4 linked regions of the Ovis aries genome follow. The protein of the gene in region 1 purifies or fractionates together with the protein of each later gene. This does not show direct contact. Links are inferred from orthologs where the notes say so. Each region holds a gene or a part of one and is shown in the gene's direction. Other genes may lie near its edges.

Evidence for each region.
Region 2: the proteins of MAPK7 (region 1) and PFDN6 purify together in Homo sapiens (affinity purification with mass spectrometry; 3 studies listed by BioGRID and IntAct, with this or other methods). This does not show direct contact. The link is inferred for Ovis aries from reciprocal best matches to the Homo sapiens genes MAPK7 and PFDN6.
Region 3: the proteins of MAPK7 (region 1) and PFDN1 purify together in Homo sapiens (affinity purification with mass spectrometry; 3 studies listed by BioGRID and IntAct, with this or other methods). This does not show direct contact. The link is inferred for Ovis aries from reciprocal best matches to the Homo sapiens genes MAPK7 and PFDN1.
Region 4: the proteins of MAPK7 (region 1) and VBP1 purify together in Homo sapiens (affinity purification with mass spectrometry; 3 studies listed by BioGRID and IntAct, with this or other methods). This does not show direct contact. The link is inferred for Ovis aries from reciprocal best matches to the Homo sapiens genes MAPK7 and VBP1.

Annotation. Positions count from the first base shown.
Region 1 is NC_056064.1:33,842,405-33,846,842, reverse strand, and holds the start of MAPK7 (mitogen-activated protein kinase 7), read left to right. Parts: upstream 1-1,246; 5' UTR 1,247-1,990; intron 1,991-2,104; exon of another isoform or gene 2,105-2,478; 5' UTR 2,479-2,483; coding exon 2,484-2,715; intron 2,716-3,315; coding exon 3,316-3,481; intron 3,482-3,487; exon of another isoform or gene 3,488-3,878; intron 3,879-4,336; coding exon 4,337-4,438. UniProt on the Homo sapiens protein: Plays a role in various cellular processes such as proliferation, differentiation and cell survival. The upstream activator of MAPK7 is the MAPK kinase MAP2K5.
Region 2 is NC_056073.1:7,615,111-7,618,645, forward strand, and holds PFDN6 (prefoldin subunit 6), read left to right. Parts: upstream 1-1,652; 5' UTR 1,653-1,684; exon of another isoform or gene 1,685-1,744; intron 1,745-1,825; 5' UTR 1,826-1,907; coding exon 1,908-1,971; intron 1,972-2,211; coding exon 2,212-2,282; intron 2,283-2,360; coding exon 2,361-2,485; intron 2,486-2,735; coding exon 2,736-2,865; 3' UTR 2,866-2,945; downstream 2,946-3,535. Other genes in the region: WDR46 (WD repeat-containing protein 46), read right to left, coding at 38-99, 239-326, 451-563, 696-776, 886-1,080, 1,180-1,248. UniProt on the Homo sapiens protein: Binds specifically to cytosolic chaperonin (c-CPN) and transfers target proteins to it. Binds to nascent polypeptide chain and promotes folding in an environment in which there are many competing pathways for nonnative proteins.
Region 3 is NC_056058.1:49,170,024-49,174,742, reverse strand, and holds the start of PFDN1 (prefoldin subunit 1), read left to right. Parts: upstream 1-1,645; 5' UTR 1,646-1,661; coding exon 1,662-1,694; intron 1,695-4,254; coding exon 4,255-4,421; intron 4,422-4,719. UniProt on the Homo sapiens protein: Binds specifically to cytosolic chaperonin (c-CPN) and transfers target proteins to it. Binds to nascent polypeptide chain and promotes folding in an environment in which there are many competing pathways for nonnative proteins.
Region 4 is NC_056080.1:81,701,386-81,706,128, forward strand, and holds the start of VBP1 (prefoldin subunit 3), read left to right. Parts: upstream 1-1,610; 5' UTR 1,611-1,633; coding exon 1,634-1,726; intron 1,727-4,743. UniProt on the Homo sapiens protein: Binds specifically to cytosolic chaperonin (c-CPN) and transfers target proteins to it. Binds to nascent polypeptide chain and promotes folding in an environment in which there are many competing pathways for nonnative proteins.

The DNA of each region.
Region 1 (4,438 bases):
AATGAGAAACAGGGAGGTTTTGCCAGAGAAAGTTGAATCGTCTATAACTTGTATACCAATTCTAGCTGAAATATTTCTAAAGAAGTATTTAAAGCATTCAAAATGTATGGGTCTTTTCTGCTATCTTATGCTTTATTCCTTTAGCAGACCAGATTGTCACAGAACTGGGCATTGGGTTCCCTGAGAAGACATGTTTCTGGGTCCTGCAGGTTTATGCCCTCTCTTTTCACTGATGGACACTGCAGAACTTAATGCACACATACGTCAGAGTTAAGGAAGGTTGTCTACCGTGTCACTTAAGGAAAGGCCATCATGGAAATGTTTTCAGAACTCAGTGCAGAAAATGTCCACTCCCCATGAATATGGTTTATTAATGGTCAAGGCAAATCATGTAACAGATAATCTGGCTTTTTGCTATGCTTTCAGGAAAACCAGAACCAAAGGTATGGTTAACTCAGGAGGTCCAAGTGATCTTTCCATGTTTAAATACGAGGTATTTATTTGTCCTGCTGCTGCTGCTGCTAAGTCACTTCAGTTGTGTCCGACTCTGTGCGACCCCAGAGACAGCAGCCCACCAGGCTCCCCCGTCCCTGGGATTCTCCAGGCAAGAACACTGGAGCGGGTTGCCATTTCCTTCTTCAATGCATGAAAGTGAAAAGTGAAAGTGAAGTCGCTCAGTCATATCCGACTCTTAGCGACCCCATGGACTGCAGCCTACCAGGCTCCTCCGTCCACAGGATTTTCCAGGCAAGAGTACTGGAGTGGGGTGCCATTGCCTTCTCCATTTATTTGTCCTAGAGCTGACGTTACGCTCTCAGACATTTTCCCTGATGTTGTATTTTTAAAATGCAATCTCCACTTTTCCATCTTAATGTATGGGCCCCAGTGAATCTCCTAGAATTCACGGCAACCGACCCCCAAAGTATGGAAAAGAGTCAACAGAAAGAAGTTGTAACCACTAGAAAAGAGAAAGGGTTTCTGAAGTGCTGGAAATGTTCTCGATTTTTTTTTTCCTCCACGTGACTTCGATATACTGATATGTTCAGTTTGTGAATTTATTCATACACTTACGCTGTGTGGAACTTCCTGTAAGTATGTTTTAGTAAAAAATAAACCTCCCAACAGTGGGGAATGTAAACAAAATTCCTTTCCAGTCTAAGGGATGGACCCTCCCTAGGGCCCTCAGGCCTAACTTCTGGGATCCCCGCCCCCTGGCTCTCTTCTCCTCAGTCACTGGAGGACACACGACCTCCCGTGAGCCGCCTCAGGACGCAGAGGATCAGCGCTCGGCGCGCACTCGCTGCGAGGTCGAACGCTGGCCCTGAAGATTGGCAGGGCACTGGCTCCGGCGGAGCTCTGCCTCCTCCAGGCGCAGCTGACCCTGTGGCCCTGCCTGCTGCCCTGCAGCCACAGCGCGGGAGTCGCTGGACGGAGCCGCCCCACGGAAGGTTCACGGCAGAGGCTAGCGAACCGCTGGCCGAAGTCCGGGGCGCCGGAAGCTGAGCTGAGAGGACAGATACCGGAAGTCAGGGCGGCTTTGAGCCGACGCTCTAGAACCCGGAGGACCGGGATCTCTGTGGTTGGATGTGACGGATCACCGTCTACCTGGGACCACGCATTCCCAAGCGCCAGGCTTCCGGGGCCCATCGGGAAAACGGGGGACGCAAAACTCGGGCTTATAGGGGCTGATAAGGGAAGAGGGGCCTAAAGGGGACTGAGTGATGGTAACTACCGGTAACAGCCCTCCAAGATCCCGAGGCCACCAGCAACTGACCAGAGAGGACCTGGAAGATCGGAGCGGATGCGCGCGCGCGCACGTAGGAGGCGGTGCCTCGCAGTCTCGCGGCGCCCGGGGCTGCTGGCGCGCCTGCGTCCGAGGACCGAGCCAGGCGGCCGCGCCCCGGCTAAGCGCCGAGCGCGGGTTGGGTGGTTCCCTCCTGGAGACTGGACCAAGGCGCGGGCGCGGGTGAAGGCGTGGCTTCCTCGGAAGGTAGGCGCGGATTGGGGGAGCAAGTGGAAGGGGTGGGGACCTCAGTAAAGGCCATTCAAGGACTGGTCAGAGGCTGAGGGGAGTGGTCTTGAGGGGGCGGGGCGGGAGACCGGCGGAGTTGAGCGTTCCGCTGAGGTGGTGGCGGCTGCCAGACCTATTGAGGGAGCGGGTATTCGGGTCCCACCCCCCAACCCCGACCCCGGGGCTGGACGCCTGGGCGGCGTCGAGGGCCCGAGCGGCGTCGGGGTGAGGCACCATTAGCCTAGTGAGGACCAAGAAGAGCGGGCGGCCCGCCCCTCGCTTTCTTCCTGGACCGCGCCTCGCGGCGCCTCCCCCACCGCCGACCCCGCTTCCCGCGCTGGATTGAGCTGGGGGCTCCCGAGCGTGCGGGACGCGGAGTGCACGTGCTGCTCGGCCTGCGGGTCTGGAGCCTCCGAGGGGCCCCTGAGTCCGGGGCCGGGCCCCTCCTCGCCCGCGTGTCCACGCAGACGCCATGGCCGAGCCCCTGAAGGAGGACGACGGTGAGGACGGTTCCGGGGAGCCCCCTGGGCCGGTGAAAGCGGAACCCGCTGGCACCGCCGCCTCGGTGGCGGCCAAGAACCTGGCCCTGCTGAAGGCGCGGTCCTTCGACGTGACCTTCGACGTGGGGGACGAGTACGAGATCATCGAGACCATTGGCAACGGGGCCTACGGGGTAGTGTCCTCCGCGCGCCGCCGCCTCACTGGTGAGCGACCCTCCCGGCCGCTCTCATGTGTGGGAACCAAGTCCTGGGGGGGTGGGACCCGCCGTCCCAGCAGCCAGCAGAGAAGCTGGGATGTGAAATCTCAGTCAAGTCAGCAAGCAGGGGTTGGGCGCTGTCTGGGGGCCGGCCTCTGTGTTGGGCTCGGGTCTCTAGAAACTCTGCTGGCTCTGCCAGCGCAGCAGTCTGCTTCCTCCTTAGAAAGGTGACAGTCTGGGTGATATCAGAATGGAGGTTCACCGGAGTGCGTTGTGGAGCAGACAGCAGGCATTGGGTTGGTGGTGGGATGAAGAGGCCTGAGACGCACAGAGTGTAGGGCGGTACTGCTAACTAGCTGTGCAGTGTGCCCAACAAATTGCTGTGCCCAGGTCTCCATGTCTGTGACTTTGAGCTGTGTACCTGCCTTGGGACAGAGGTGAAGGGGAGATGTGGTCATGTACCTACTGTGCTCAGCACAGGATCTGGCACATAGTAGGTCCTCTGTGGTAGCTGTTGTCACATGCATAGCATATCGAAAGAGGCCATGTGCTACTCTGCAGCTCACCAGCTATCCCAAGTGGCATCTACTTTTCCCCTGTTCCCCAGGCCAGCAGGTGGCCATTAAGAAGATCCCTAATGCTTTTGACGTGGTGACCAATGCCAAGCGGACCCTCAGAGAGCTGAAGATCCTCAAGCACTTCAAGCATGACAACATCATTGCCATAAAGGACATCCTGAGGCCCACTGTACCCTATGGCGAGTTCAAATCTGTGTAAGGAGCAGGGATAGGGAGGGAGGCAGAGTTGGCACCTTTTCTGAAGGCTGGAGCCACTCTGCTAAAGTTCTGGAAGGGCAGCTGAACCTAATGTAGGGTAGGCTGGGGAAATTCCCATGACTCCAGGACCAGTGCTCCCTAAGGGTTTGCCAGGGACAGCTATGATTTCTTCAAAGAAAGTATAGAAGTGACAGGTTTATAGAATCTCAGTATGTGTGCATGCTAAGTCACTTCAGTCATGTCTTGACTTTTTGCGACCCTGTGGACTGTAGCTTGCCAGGCTCCTCTGTCCCTGGGGATTCTCCAGGCAAGGATGCTCAAGTGGGTTCCCATGCCCTCCTCCAAGAGATCTTTCCTGACTCAGAGATCGAACCCGCGTCTCCTGCGTTGGCAGGTGGGTTCTTTACTGCTGGTGCCACCTGGGAAGCCCAGAATCTCAGTATATAGCATGGCAAATGTAGGGTATTCATCCTATGTCTGTTCTTTCCTATTCCAGTAGCAGACGTCACTAGTCAGTCACAGAACACTGTCCTGCAGATTGCAGAAGCCTTTAAATTTTCATCATAGCCTTTCAAGCAGCCACTACCACACAACGAAGAGGGCCCCCAAACTAAACCCTGGGGGCCAGGCTGGTCTAGTCCAGCCTCATCTTTTCTCTGATGAGAAAAGCTAGGCCTGGAGAGAAAAGTGATTTCACTTGAGTCCATGGAAAAGTTGTAGAGAATCTTGATACCATGCGGGCAGCCCCTGCAGGGTCTAAGAGTAAGACCTTGACCTGTCTGGAGCTGGGAGGGCGTGACAGTGGGGTTGGAGTTTGGGCAAGACAGCCTGCGTCTCTCCCCTGCCTCTCAGCTACGTGGTCCTGGACCTGATGGAGAGCGACCTGCACCAGATCATCCATTCCTCACAGCCGCTGACACTGGAGCATGTGCGCTACTTCCTGTACCAGCTGCT
Region 2 (3,535 bases), on another chromosome or scaffold:
GATGGGCTAGGCTAAAGTCACTGGAATTCAACCTTACCTCCCAGTTCTAGAGTAATTTAGCCTGTAGGGTCCAAACTGCCTCAAGTTCAAGTCAAAATGCTGGAAAAAGGGATAGTGAAAAAAAGAAAAGGAAAAGGAGAGTTGGTTCCTTTCAGGACTCTTCTCTCCTAGTCCCCACTCCCGTCTTACTCTGCACCATCAGCCAACCCACTGGCCCCTTTTCCATTCTCAGACTCACTTTGGCTGCACTCGCAATGTCCACAGCCTCCACGATGTCAGCCTGGCGAATCTTTGCCGTGTCCTCCCCATCCTCTCCTTCCAGAAACCTGCAAGTGAGCGTGAGAGTTGCATTAAAGCTTCCTAATAAGAAGTGGGTATCCCAGCATCACAATCAGAAATTAGAGCCCCATAAATCAGGGATTGGGGAGGCCCACATCAGGGTCCACTCACCCAGGTTCTTCAGCAAGCAGAAGCTCAGATCGAGCAGCTCTGACACTTGTTTCCTCTTCTTGTGCTTCAGCCACCGCAAGTCGGCTTCGTGTCTTGGTCTTCGCATGTGGTAGCTAAAACAGCGGTGAGAGATGAAGTGAGAGAAGGACCAAGGGATGCGGGGGTCACAGGAGAGCCCCGCCTCCATTCAACTCACCCAGACACTCCCTCCTGCAACCGCTCCCCACTCTCCGACTAGCCCTCACCTCCTTGGATTTGTCAATGCGACAGTACTTCCGAACCACCTCCACACTGACAGGGGCGGGGCCTGCAAATGGGTCCTGGGCCTGCGGCAGGGAGGAGGCAATTAAGAAACAGGCTCGAGCTGACCCCAACCCCCCGACCCTGAAAGCACAAGGCGACTTGCCTCGGCACCCCGGGAGGTCCCAGGCTCACCCCAGAAAAGGTCCGCTGAGGCCCCGGACTCTTCAGTTCTCGGGGTTTCTTGGAGATCCGAAACTTCTTTGAGGTGTCATTTCTCTTTGGCTTCTGGGGGCGGAGCTCTCGACTCCTCTTCCGTTTATGAGGGGGACCTGGAGAAGCTCCGGCCGCAGTCCCAGTGGTCTCTTGCTCCCAGTATCGCCGCGGTTTCTACCAACAGAGCAGGATCCCTCGTATTCCGCTGCCCTTCGCCCCGCCCCTCGAACCCCGCAAATAAAAACTTCCTTTCCACCCCAAGGAGATCCCTACCTTCTTCTTGGCTTGCAGTCTGTCCTTCTTGGGTGGAACATTACTGCCCGGCTTGGGGACTGTCTCCATCTAGCCCACTCGAACCACGATCCACGTGCAAACTCCTCTCCACAGTCCCACAGTGTGATGGAAAACTCCCGGAAGTCCTCCGAGACTCATCCAATCAGCGCCGTTCCAGGTCTGAAGCCTCCTAGGCGCCATCTTTAATGAGGGCGCGCTCCCCACTGAGGGGCGGGACCAAGGCCCCCAGTGCGGCAACTTATGCCCAAGTGATGAAAGACGGGCAGTCCGAGGCCAAGACCCAAGCAACCCTGCAGTTTCTTTTCCCATCTCGGTTTCTCCATCTTGCCTTAAATCCTTCCGCTTCTGGTCTTTTTAGCAGAACGCCACACATTGACCATATTAGAACTACATTTCCCGGCGTGCGCCGGCTCACAGCTTCCGGTGCCGTCTTTCCCCAGCATTCTCTATTTACTTCCGGGTTCACCAATACTGAAGTGAGAGCGTGAGTAGGGGAGCGGTTCGGCTGAGGAGTTCGGGGTACTGCCACTCCCTGAGGCTGGGGGTGAGTCGATATCCCGGACCAGGAGAGACTGCAGTGGGTGGCCCGAGGGGCTGCCTCTCAAGAGGGCTGTCACCTCCGCAGGCCAGAAAGGGGAGCCCGGGTACCTTCCAGAGCGTGAGACCCAGCGCCCCTCTCCCGCTGCCCGCAGGCTTTCGTCCCCGCCATGGCTGAGCTAATCCAGAAGAAGCTGCAGGGGGAAGTGGAGAAATATCAACAGCTGCAGAAGGGTAAGGGAGCAGGGTAGGGGTGACCTCGCGGCAATTCACTCACAACCTGTCTATACCCGAATAATGTATTCTGTCCCACCTCTGGCCCCAGCCTGCGGCTCCTTCCCCTTCTCTGTAGTCTTCCCATTCCCTGTCCCGCCTGCTCATCCTTGCCTGCTTCCTCAGCTCCGCCTTCTTACCAGGACTGTGGTGGTCGGGTGGCACATGAGATGTCTCTAAACAAACCTTTTCATCCGGCAGACTTGAGTAAATCCATGTCAGGGAGGCAGAAACTAGAGGCACAACTAACAGAAAATAATATCGTGAAGGAGGTGAGAGACTGAGATTTGTGGGGCGAGGGGGGACCTGTCTTGGAAGTGATTCTGATGTTTTTCCCACTCCTCCACCAGGAACTGGCCCTGCTGGATGGGTCCAACGTGGTGTTTAAACTTCTGGGGCCCGTGTTGGTCAAACAGGAGCTGGGGGAAGCTCGGGCCACAGTGGGGAAAAGGCTGGACTACATCACAGCTGAGATGTGAGTCTTCCTTCCACCCCACTGTGTTATACTTGATCCGTTGGGAATAAAGGTGCTGAGAAACCTTTCTAGAGTCATTCTCCAGAGCAGCCCCCATTTGAGCAGGTTCTTCAACTCCTTCCTGTGTCCTTCAACTCCTTCCCTTTTCTTCATACTCCCCTTAGAGCTCAAGTTTCTGACCAATCTTGTCTTCAGCACCCTCAAGAGTAAGTCTCACTAATTTCTCATTTGCTTTTTTGCCCTTCCTCAGTAAGCGGTATGAATCCCAGCTCCGAGACCTAGAGCAGCAGTCAGAACAACAGAGGGAGACCCTGGCTCAGCTGCAGCAGGAGTTTCAGAGGGCGCAGGCGGCAAAGGCAGGGGCTCCTGGGAAAGCCTGACCCTGTCCTGGGGGGGTGGGCGGGGGGAGGAATGCGGCAGCTCTAGGGTCTATACTGTAGCTAATAAAATGTGAAAATACCTGGCGTGTTCTGACCAGCCACTTCTGTTGTAACTGTCTCCATCCTTTCCTCTGGTCCCTTCTCCCTCACCCCTATATCACCTGCATTACTCTCTTAGATCCAAATTTGTGCACTGAAATTTGTGTGTGGCAGAGTAACCCTTCTTTCTTGAGACTAAACTCCGAAATGTCTCAAACCTAATCCTTGCCTGTACATGCAAGCCTTAACTCTCTCTTCTCTTGATTGGAAGCAACCAAGAAAAGGGCATTGACAGTGAAACAATTTGGGGGAAAGTTAAGTTTCATTGAAAAACTCACAATTCTCTAACCTGCAGTCCCAGAATGGAACATGGTAATCCTCTTTTGCTATGATTTCTTGTCATCCTCAGAATAGCCCTGGCATCTTAGTTCTTTTTAGTCTCTTTTCTTCCTAGACTTTGTTTAAATGTAGCTTAAATTGGATTTCATATCCCAGCACATAATGCATTGTGATATTCTGAGACCTCCAAGTTTGTACATTGTCCACGAAGTGGTTCTTCCATTTCTTTGTCCTAACATTGTCTTAGGAATTCAGAGCCAAGGGTGTTTTTCATACTGATGGCTTTAATTGG
Region 3 (4,719 bases), on another chromosome or scaffold:
TATTGGAGAAGGACATGGCAACCACTTCAGTATTCTTGCCTGGGAAATCCCATGGACAGAGATGACTGGCTAGCTATAGTCTATGGGGTTACAAGAGTCAGACACAATCTAGTGACTAAACCACCACCACCACCACCAAGTTCCTTGTACAATGGAATCATACAGTATTTGTCTTTTTGTGACTGGTTTATTTCACTTAGCATAATGTCCTCACATTTTGTTTATCCATTTGTCGAATGATGGACATTTGAACAGCTAATAAGTCTAATAAAAAAAAATTTTTAAGACAGATAGTGTCATGTGTCTTGAAAAAGGAACAGAAGTAGTCTTGAAATTCCAAGGAGAGATTATTTATGGTCTGTGTGATGTAAAAAATAAAAAAAATACATAATGGATACATATTATGTGTCTGCTGCTTGCTGTATCTTGAAAGACAAATATAACAATGCTAACTACATGAACTTAATTATACCTTTTTATTGTGTGCCTACTGTGTGCATTGTGCTATGCTTGGAGCTTTCCATCCTGATCTTGTTTACTCCTCAGAATAACTCTGTTAGGTCAGTACTGTTATTCTCATATTAAATGAGGAGACAGACTCTGTTGATACACAACTAGTAAATGGAAGCAGACATACCTACGCTCAGTGTAGACCAAACCTTGAATACAGATTTGTTTAGTTCCAAACTCCCTGCCCTTTCCCCTGCCTCACAGGTTTTTAGAGTAAGGAAGATATCCATTTCTTTCATGTCCATCCTTCTAGTCATCCTTCTGGTTCAAATGCCAGCTATTTTACAGCAGATTTTCAAAATGTGGTTTGCAGTCCACTTAGATCAGATCATAAAAGGAGTTTGCAAAAGTATGTATTTCTGTGCCCCATATCAAAGATTCTAAGTAAGTTTGGGATGAGGATCAGAGAATCTGCATTTTTTTTTTCTTTTAAAAAGAAATTTGGTTTCTCGTGAGAACTCCTGTGTCTACAAGGTCTTCTGAGAACATTCAGTATAAATAAGTTCTTTGGGAAAACGCTTCAACTAAGCCTTCTGGACACGGCTGAGCGACTGAACTGAACTGAAGCCTTCTGGTCTTCTCCATGCTGCCATGTCTGAAACTCAGGCTGATTCTTTCTCATCCCTCCCTGACAGCACAGGACTCGCTGAAGGCATGAATGACTTTAAAGGTTTTAGCTTGATCTACATACATCTTAATTTAGCGACACAAACTAAACTATTTGTCGAAGTGGTTAAAACCACACACGAGGGGACGGAGGCGGGAGGGGGGTTCAGGATGGGGAACACGTGTACACCCGTGGCGGATTCATGTTGATGTATGGCAAAACCAATACAATATTGTAATTAGTCTCCAATTAAAATAAATAAATTTATATTAAAAAAACACACACACGAAATCTGCAGATTGTGCCGTGTTTGGAAGGATGTGGAGAATCACGGCAGGCCCATAGGTCACGTGGGGAAGACGTACTCTGAATCGGAATCCCGGTTATTTCAGGCGTTAATAACGACGGGGAAGGTAGGAAAACCAAGCAGCCCCACTCATGCGCAGGCGCAGAAGGAAGAGGCCCTATCAAATCTTCAGGGCGCGCCCTTCCCCCACGCTCTTTCCGGGCTTCTCCCACTGCGCAGGCGCAGTAGTGAAGCAAGATGGCGGCCCCCGTGGATCTGGAGTTGAAGAAGGTAAAAGAGGGTCTTGAGCAGGCAGAAGCTTTTCTTTGGAAGCTAAGGCGACTGTGGACAATAATGTCGAGTGAGTCTCGAGTGCTGCGGAAGGAAAGAGGCCCCAGGGAAATGGGGAGTGGTTTCTCAGAGTGCAAAGGCGGGACCGGGCCTCCTTAGGCGGGAGTCGAGGGCGAGCGGCTCTTTGCCGGGTAAGAGCCGGTTGGGCTGGGCCTGGTTAAGTTTGGCGGGCCTATAGCTGTTTTGTTCCCTTGTTCCGAGCTCCAGAGACCTTTCGTTGCTCTTGGTGCCTTCAGTTCCATAGTGAGGCCTGAAATGAGCGCTTCCAGTTGGAGCCTCTTAGCCTGCTTGCCCGAGCTGTAGCATCTGTAATTCTGTATACTAATTTGCTTTGAAAAACTCCAAGTCCAGTCTGTTTTTAGGTCAGTTCTTTAATCCCATATCTTGTAAGGTCGCTTCATACAGTTCAGTCAGGTATCCTCGTAGCAATGTTCATCTTAGGGCTTTGCCAACAACCGCCCCCTCCCCACCCTCGTTTTTAAAGATTTGTCAAAGAAGAAACAAGTCAAAGGTTTCCAGATCAAATTGGTATCAGAAGGAATTGAGTTTCTCTCTTCAAACAATTGCCTAGAAATGTGTTGTTACACAGAAATGTTTTCACCACCTGAGAGTTGTCAGGATTCTAACACCACTACCGACTCAAAAGCGTATCCTTTTTTTTTTTTTTTTTTTTGCGAAGAGAAGGAGAATGGGGATTGGAAAGGAGCCTAGACTTCATCTACTTTAAACTGATACTTTTCTAGAAAAGGAAACAGTTTAACAGAAGAGTCAGCCCAAGCTTGGTTCTAGAATATTGCATTCTCTGCCTCACTTTCCACCTTTTGACCACTACTTGAGGTTAGAAGAGCAAATTTTGTTTAAGACTGTCTTGTAATCTATCTTTGCATGAGAAATAAGACAGTTGAAGTAGCTCTTCCACGTAATAGATGAAGCAGTGTATTATTGCTCTGAGGATTTGTGTGTGTGTATTGCCTTTTGTTTGGAACTTGTACCTTTACTCCTTATGGTGCTGTCTAGTGCTGTATTATCTCAGCTTTAACAAAATACTAGCTTCCTTACCAAACTGTGTCTTAAAGTGTTTTAAAAGTTTACCTTTTTTTTCCGTTAAAAGTTCAAATTTAAGTTAGGGTTTAGTGAGAGCTAACAATAGAATACAGCTATGAATGGACTTACCCCTCAGTATTATTTCAGTCTGTTGCTGGGAAACCTGTGGACAGTGAATGCAAACTAAGAAGATAATTACAGACTTAAATTGGGTAGTTTTGTCAACCAATAAAATTACAGAAGAAACTTGTTTAAAGGTCTTTTAATGTTTATAATTTTGGGGGGAGGGGAAGGGATGGAGACTAATAGGAAACTTTAGGTACCTCCTCTCCCCTCTAGATAAACCTTTTGAAACCTTACTAGTAGGTGAGAACAAAGTCAGAATAAAAGTTAGTAGCTTTTTGCCATGTATTGCAGCCACAGATGTTATTATTAAGTCAGAATTTGACAGCATGTGAAAATCATTCTAGGCACTTCAGAAGTATCAAAAACCTTTTAACAGTACTCAGAGGTCAAGTTTGGCTTATCGTGTGCATATGAAGATCATGATGCAATTCTTTTATCAATGCTTTGAATTTTTTTGTGTGTCTTTCTCTTAAAATATTCATTTTCTGAATATTACTGTGGATAGTAGAGTAGAAAGATTCAGTAACTAGCGGTCAGAAGTTAATTAAGTACTTGGTTTTTGACCTAGTAGTTGCTCAGCCCTGTGAAAGTCATTTATATCTCTTTAAAACATTTAGTTAATTTGTAAACTGTGCTGATGAATCTGCCATCCTTAACTCAGGATTATTGAAAAGAGAAAATGAGACATTTATTATATGTCAGTATTCTCATATTAATATTCACATGTTAATATTTCAAACAAGTGTGGGAAAGTGCTTTAAATAATCTTGAGTAGTACAGATGTGGTGAGTTGTTACATTAATGGTTCCTGATTTGGGTCTCTGGGTTTGTGATTGTTGCCTTTAGAGCTTTTATTAATCCTTGGGTACCTGCTACTTGATATGGTTGTTATTTACCGTGCCTTTGTTCAGCTTCTTCAGATAGGTTGCATCTTCTGAGGACTGGGTAAGTTCAGTACAGTTGACTCTTGAACAGCATTGGTTTAAACGTCAGGGATCCAGTTGTACACAGATTTTTAAAATAGTAAATACTAGAGTACTACATGATATGTAGTTGGTTGAATCAACAAATGTAGAACCAGGGATACAAAGGAACTGCTATATGGAGAGTCAACTATAAATTATACTTGGATTTTCAACTGCACAGAGGGTCAGTGCTTCTAATCACTGAATTGTTCAGGGCTCAAGTTTTTAGCAGACTGGCTTTGAGATGTTTGCTGTGGTAAATTTCACGGCTTTGTCTGTTTAACAGGCTTCATTTTAATAGATTTGATATAGACATTTACTGTAAAATGTTGCACCTACTAAATCAAGGACTTATTTCTTTTTAGGCCTTCACAGAGCTTCAAGCCAAAGTTATTGACACTCAACAGAAGGTGAAGCTTGCAGATGTACAGATTGAACAGCTGAACAGAACGAAAAAGCATGCACATCTTACAGATACAGAGATTATGACTTTGGTAGATGAGACTAACATGTATGAAGGTGTAGGAAGAATGTAAGTAAAGTATATCCTTAAGGGGGTTATCCTGAAAGAAGTTTACCTGAATTAAGTCATAGAATTTGTTCACTTTACAACTTGGGTTAAAGTATCATAGTAGCTTTAAAGAACACTAGGTCAAATATCTTTTTTCTTTTAAATGAGAAACTGAGTTCTAGGTAAATGTGTTTAATCTTAAACTTTGAAGTACATTTTAAAAATATTTATTCCAAGTTCTTCTCTCCATACTTAGGTACTTATGTGTGTAGCTTGAATGGTAAAAATATGATTTGTTGTGAAAAGATGTTTATAGTGG
Region 4 (4,743 bases), on another chromosome or scaffold:
CTTTCTCCACTCCTGGGATACCAGCCATCCCCCCACCCCTCCAACCCCTCCCTTCTTCCCAGTCGTCTAGCCTTTACCCCACCTCTAGTAGCGCCCTCTTTGCCATCCTCCAAACTCTCCGGGAAACTCTGTCCTTCACCACTCAGTCCAGCTCAAAGCTCTGCCCACTTAACTTAGCAGCTGAACAACAATTGCCTCCCTCTTTCCACTTCTTCATCCTGGCCTAGTTCCCTCACTACTGTAGTCCTACTGTATGCCAAGTACTTATTAGGTATTCTGTGGGAAAAGTGAAAGTGTTAGTCGCTCAGTCGTGTCTGCCTCTTTGCAACTCAATGGACTGTAGCCCATAGCCCGCCGGGCTCCTCTGTCCATGGGATTTTCCTGGCAAGAATACTGGAGGGGGTTGCCATTTCCTTCTCCAGGGGATGTTCCTGACCGAGGGATCGAATCTGTGCATTGCAGGCAGACTCCTTACGATCTGAACCAGCAGGAAAACCCAGGTAGTCTATATACATAATCTCATTTAATCTTTACGACAGCCTTGTTGGTACCCATTGCATTTTAATTTTTAAATAACTCAGGTAGTGTCTTCACCTGTGCTCCTTTCCTACCCTGTGCAGGCAAGATAGAGACGTCCGTGTTTCTTAGTTGTGGTTTGGTCACTAAGTCACGTCTGACTCTGTGACCCCATGGACTGTAGCCCACCAGGCTCCTCTGTCCATGGGATTTCCCAGGCAAGCATACTGGAGTGGGTTGTCCTTTCCTTCCCCAGGGGATCTTCCTGACCCAGGGATTGAACCTGTGTTTCCTGCATCTCCTGCATTGGCAGGTGGATTCTTTACCCACTGAGCCACCAGGGAAGCCCGAGGCAGGAACCAACATGGTGCTCCGATGTCAGAAAACAGGGGGGTAGTGGTGAATGAGCTTGGGGATTCCTTGGGTCTAGAAACATCGGGAAAGTTCTTAGGATTTTGTATTAATATGGACAGTGTGAAGTTTTGAAAACGTTTGAGCTGGTGGTGAGAGTCTGATCAGAGGTGCTTTCGGTAAATTGTGATGCAACGGGCGGGGTATTTATTAGAATCAGGCCACTAGGTCCCCTCGGAAGCAGGCTCAAAACAAGCACCCTTCAGGAGCCAAAAAGCTCGCGAGGATCGTGGGCCCAGAATGTCACCGAGGCCCAAGTCCCGTGGTGGCGTCTAGGTCTCGAGTCTGCTTGAATTCGAGAAGGGATCGGGTAGCTCCGATGGTTCTTCTGGAGAGGCCTGTTCCGGGCTGGCAGTGGAGTCTATTCCGGCTTCTTCCGGGATTGTCCGCATCCTCCAGCCCGCCGCCCCACCCACAAAACCCCCGGAATCCCTTTTCCCAGGACTCGGTATTGGTCCTTCCCGCAGAGCCAGCCTCGCCTCCGCGGCCCTTCCACTCCTGTCACTCACCCGCGCAGCCAATTAGAGCCCACAGATCGAGCGACTCTGCCGAGCGGGGGACGGGGCGGGGGGTATTTCCTGTAAGCCAACGAACGCACAGACTCCCAGGCGGGGGGGCGGGCCCGCGACTGTGACCCGAGCCAATCACAGGCCCCCGGCTACAGGCCGCTCGCGAGGCACGTTAGTCGCGCGCTCGCTTCTCCAAAATGGCGGCCTCTAAGGACGGTTGTGGTGTAGGAGAAGTGGCTGCGGGGAACGGGAGGCGACTCCACCTGGGGATTCCTGAAGCGGTTTTTGTGGTGAGTGGCCAGCGGGTGTTTGATGCTACGCTGTTGTACCCTTTCTTCCTGGCCCCTCACCGGGGACTTGGTTGTTGGGGAGAGAGGCGTTGGGCCCAATTACCTGGGAGGGGGCGCTCCGGCCTGGACGGACTAAACTGGGGCGGGACCTGCCTGGGAGGGGGCCTGCCGTCCGAGCAGGTCACAGGCGCTAAGCGGGCGCGGGGCCGGAGGACTTGGGGGCGGAGGCGGGCCGCTTTGAGGGACCGCCTTCCCCCGCCCTCCGTGGCCTGCGGTTCCGACCCCGCTTCCGAGAAGACGGGAGGCGGTGAGAAGCTGGACCCTCAGCCTGGATTCTGGGGAGACCGAGGGGGACGGGGTAACGGAGCTGGGGCTCAGGTGTGAAGCTCGGAAATGACATCTCGGGTGTAGAAGGGCTGCGGCGGCCTGTGGCTTCCGAAGAAGACCCCATGATGGGGGCGTCGGCCGGGAAAGCTCTCGAAGGCCATGTGAAACCCGCTAGGCCATGGAGGCCTTAGCCCGCTGGCTGCGGGCGCTCATTAGACAGTGAAATTGCAGAGTCGTGTCCAACTCTGTGACCCCATGGACTGTAGCCTACCAGGCTCCTCAGTCCATGGGATTTTCCAGGCAGGAATACTGGAGTGGGTTGCCATTTCCTTCTAGTGAAGCCACTTGTAATCACTTTGAGGTACACGGTTCTAACAACGTAGAGAGTCCATAGGGTGCAGTTCACAGAGGAAGCCGGCAGTGCAGTATTGGAGGGTTCATTGAACGGGGAGACTAAACCAAGGCCAAACAGAGAAGCACGTAGAGGCTTTCAATCCTGTCTCTCCATAAGGCTGTACTCGAAATAGTGTTTGAGAACTAGTTGAGTGTTGAGAAAACCTGATGGGTGTTCCAGGCCAGTATCACCCATCTTTCTCCACTCAGTTCTGGCTGAACTACTATGAAACCTTAATGGAAATTTCTCCACCTTTTGCTTTGTCCCGATATTGTCTTAATCTCTGCCTTTAAAAAGAATTTATTTATTTTAATTGGAGGCTAATTACTTTACAATATTGTACTGGTTTTTGCCATACATTGACATGAATCAGCCAGTGGTGTACATATGTTTCCCATCGTGAATCACCCTCCCACCTCCCTCCCCATCCCATCTCTCAGGGTCGTCCCAGTGCACCAGCCCTGAGCACCCTGTCTTATGCATCGAACCTGGATTGGCTTTTTGTTGATGAAATCGTCCACCGTTCAGAAGACCCTTGTCTTTTATTTAGACCACTTTTATATGCACTGTATGAATATTTGCATTGGCTGACTCAGTTTTGTCCTATTTTATTTTATTTTTGTCCTTGAAGTGTGCCATGTATTTCCTTCCACTCATCTCCCACTTAATCATCAACAAGAGACAAAATTTGTTGAGTACCAGGCACATTCTAATGCTTTTACACAACTCAGTAAGAGGCAAATACTGTTATTCTCATTTTGTACATGTTCAGACTGAGCCCCAGAGCCCTTGAGTAATTTGCCCCAAGTCACACAATGTGTGAGTGAGTTATCCAAGCTTTAAACTTGGTCAGTCTGTGGGCTCCAGACCTCTACTTCCATGCCATGCTCTGCTGCTGGGAGGAAAGTGAGGTCATTATCTTGCCCCCGATCCTAGCACAGTGCCTGACACACAGTATAAACTCATAACTAAATGTCAGATTGAATTTCCATAATGCCTTAAAATCCTGCATTCATGGTGCTTAACAAATGATGGCTTCAGAAATCTAATTCAGGAAGATGAAGTTTATCAAGGGGCTATATAAAGTGTTATCTTAAAATGCATTTTCTCTAAAATGTTATGAGTTGCTTTTTCTAGATCTTTAAAATTTCCATCAATACATTATATAAACAATCCACATTTATATAAATATTTTAATGTTCCCCAACTAATGGGAAATAGCATGGTATTTTAGAAAGAACATTGGTTTCGAGACTAGAGTTTGAATCCTGCCTCTGCTTCCCAGTTGCTGCTTATCTTGAGCATATTGTTTTACAACTTTGAGCCCCTCTGTTTCTTAACTGAAATAAGGATAACATTACTTACAGATTTCTTCTGAGAAACAGAGAATGTGCTTTCAGTATTGCAAGTAGATACTTAATACATATTCATTTCGGTAATAAGGCAATGTACCATAGTGGTTAGAAGTCAGATTGCCTTTTCCCCATTCCAGTTGGTACAGTAATTTTTTTCTTTCTCTGCTTTAATTGATCTTTTCCCCCCTTGTCCATTGTTTGGCTGCACCATCTCTCAACATCTAGTTCAGATATGATCTCTGTAGTTTTTTCTGACCACCACCCTGGGGTAGAATTCTTGGTGCTTCCATCTGTTCCCTTAGCCATATCTAATGTTTGTTGAACACTTACTAGCTTCTGTGTCCTCTTCTGAGTCTTTGACATGTGGTAACTCATTTAATCCCCTGTAGGGAAGAGGCACTTTTTTCTTTTACAGATGAGGAAATTGAGGCCAAGACAAGAATTAAACAACTGCCTCACGGTCCACACAGCTAGTACGTGATGCAGCCAGCATTCAAGCCATGCAGCTCCTGGGTCTTAACCACAGACTTTTGCTGCTGTAGTTCCTTCTCCTTGCTCGTGTCTAAGCTTCTAATAACATGTGCCAGAAACATTTCTTTTCCTATAACAATCCTTCTAGGAAGATGCTATCTCCAAAATGCTATCTCCTTGCACTTGATCGCCATGCAGAACTCAGCTGTTGCCTCAGGCTTTTTCAGTTTTCTTTTTTTACAGTGTCTAACTTGATGGCTTCATAGTTCACTCCTTTGCTGTGTTTCTCTTCCTTTTTCTTGTTGCTTGGTTTTGGCTAAAATACTCCTTTCAAGGTGGTAAGCACGTGCTCACCTGTTGTCACTTGTGGTGTCCAACTCTGCGATCCCATGGACTGTAGCCTGCCAGCCTCCTCTGTCCACAGGATTTTCCTGGCAAGAAGACTAGAGTGGGTTGCCGTGCCTTCCTCC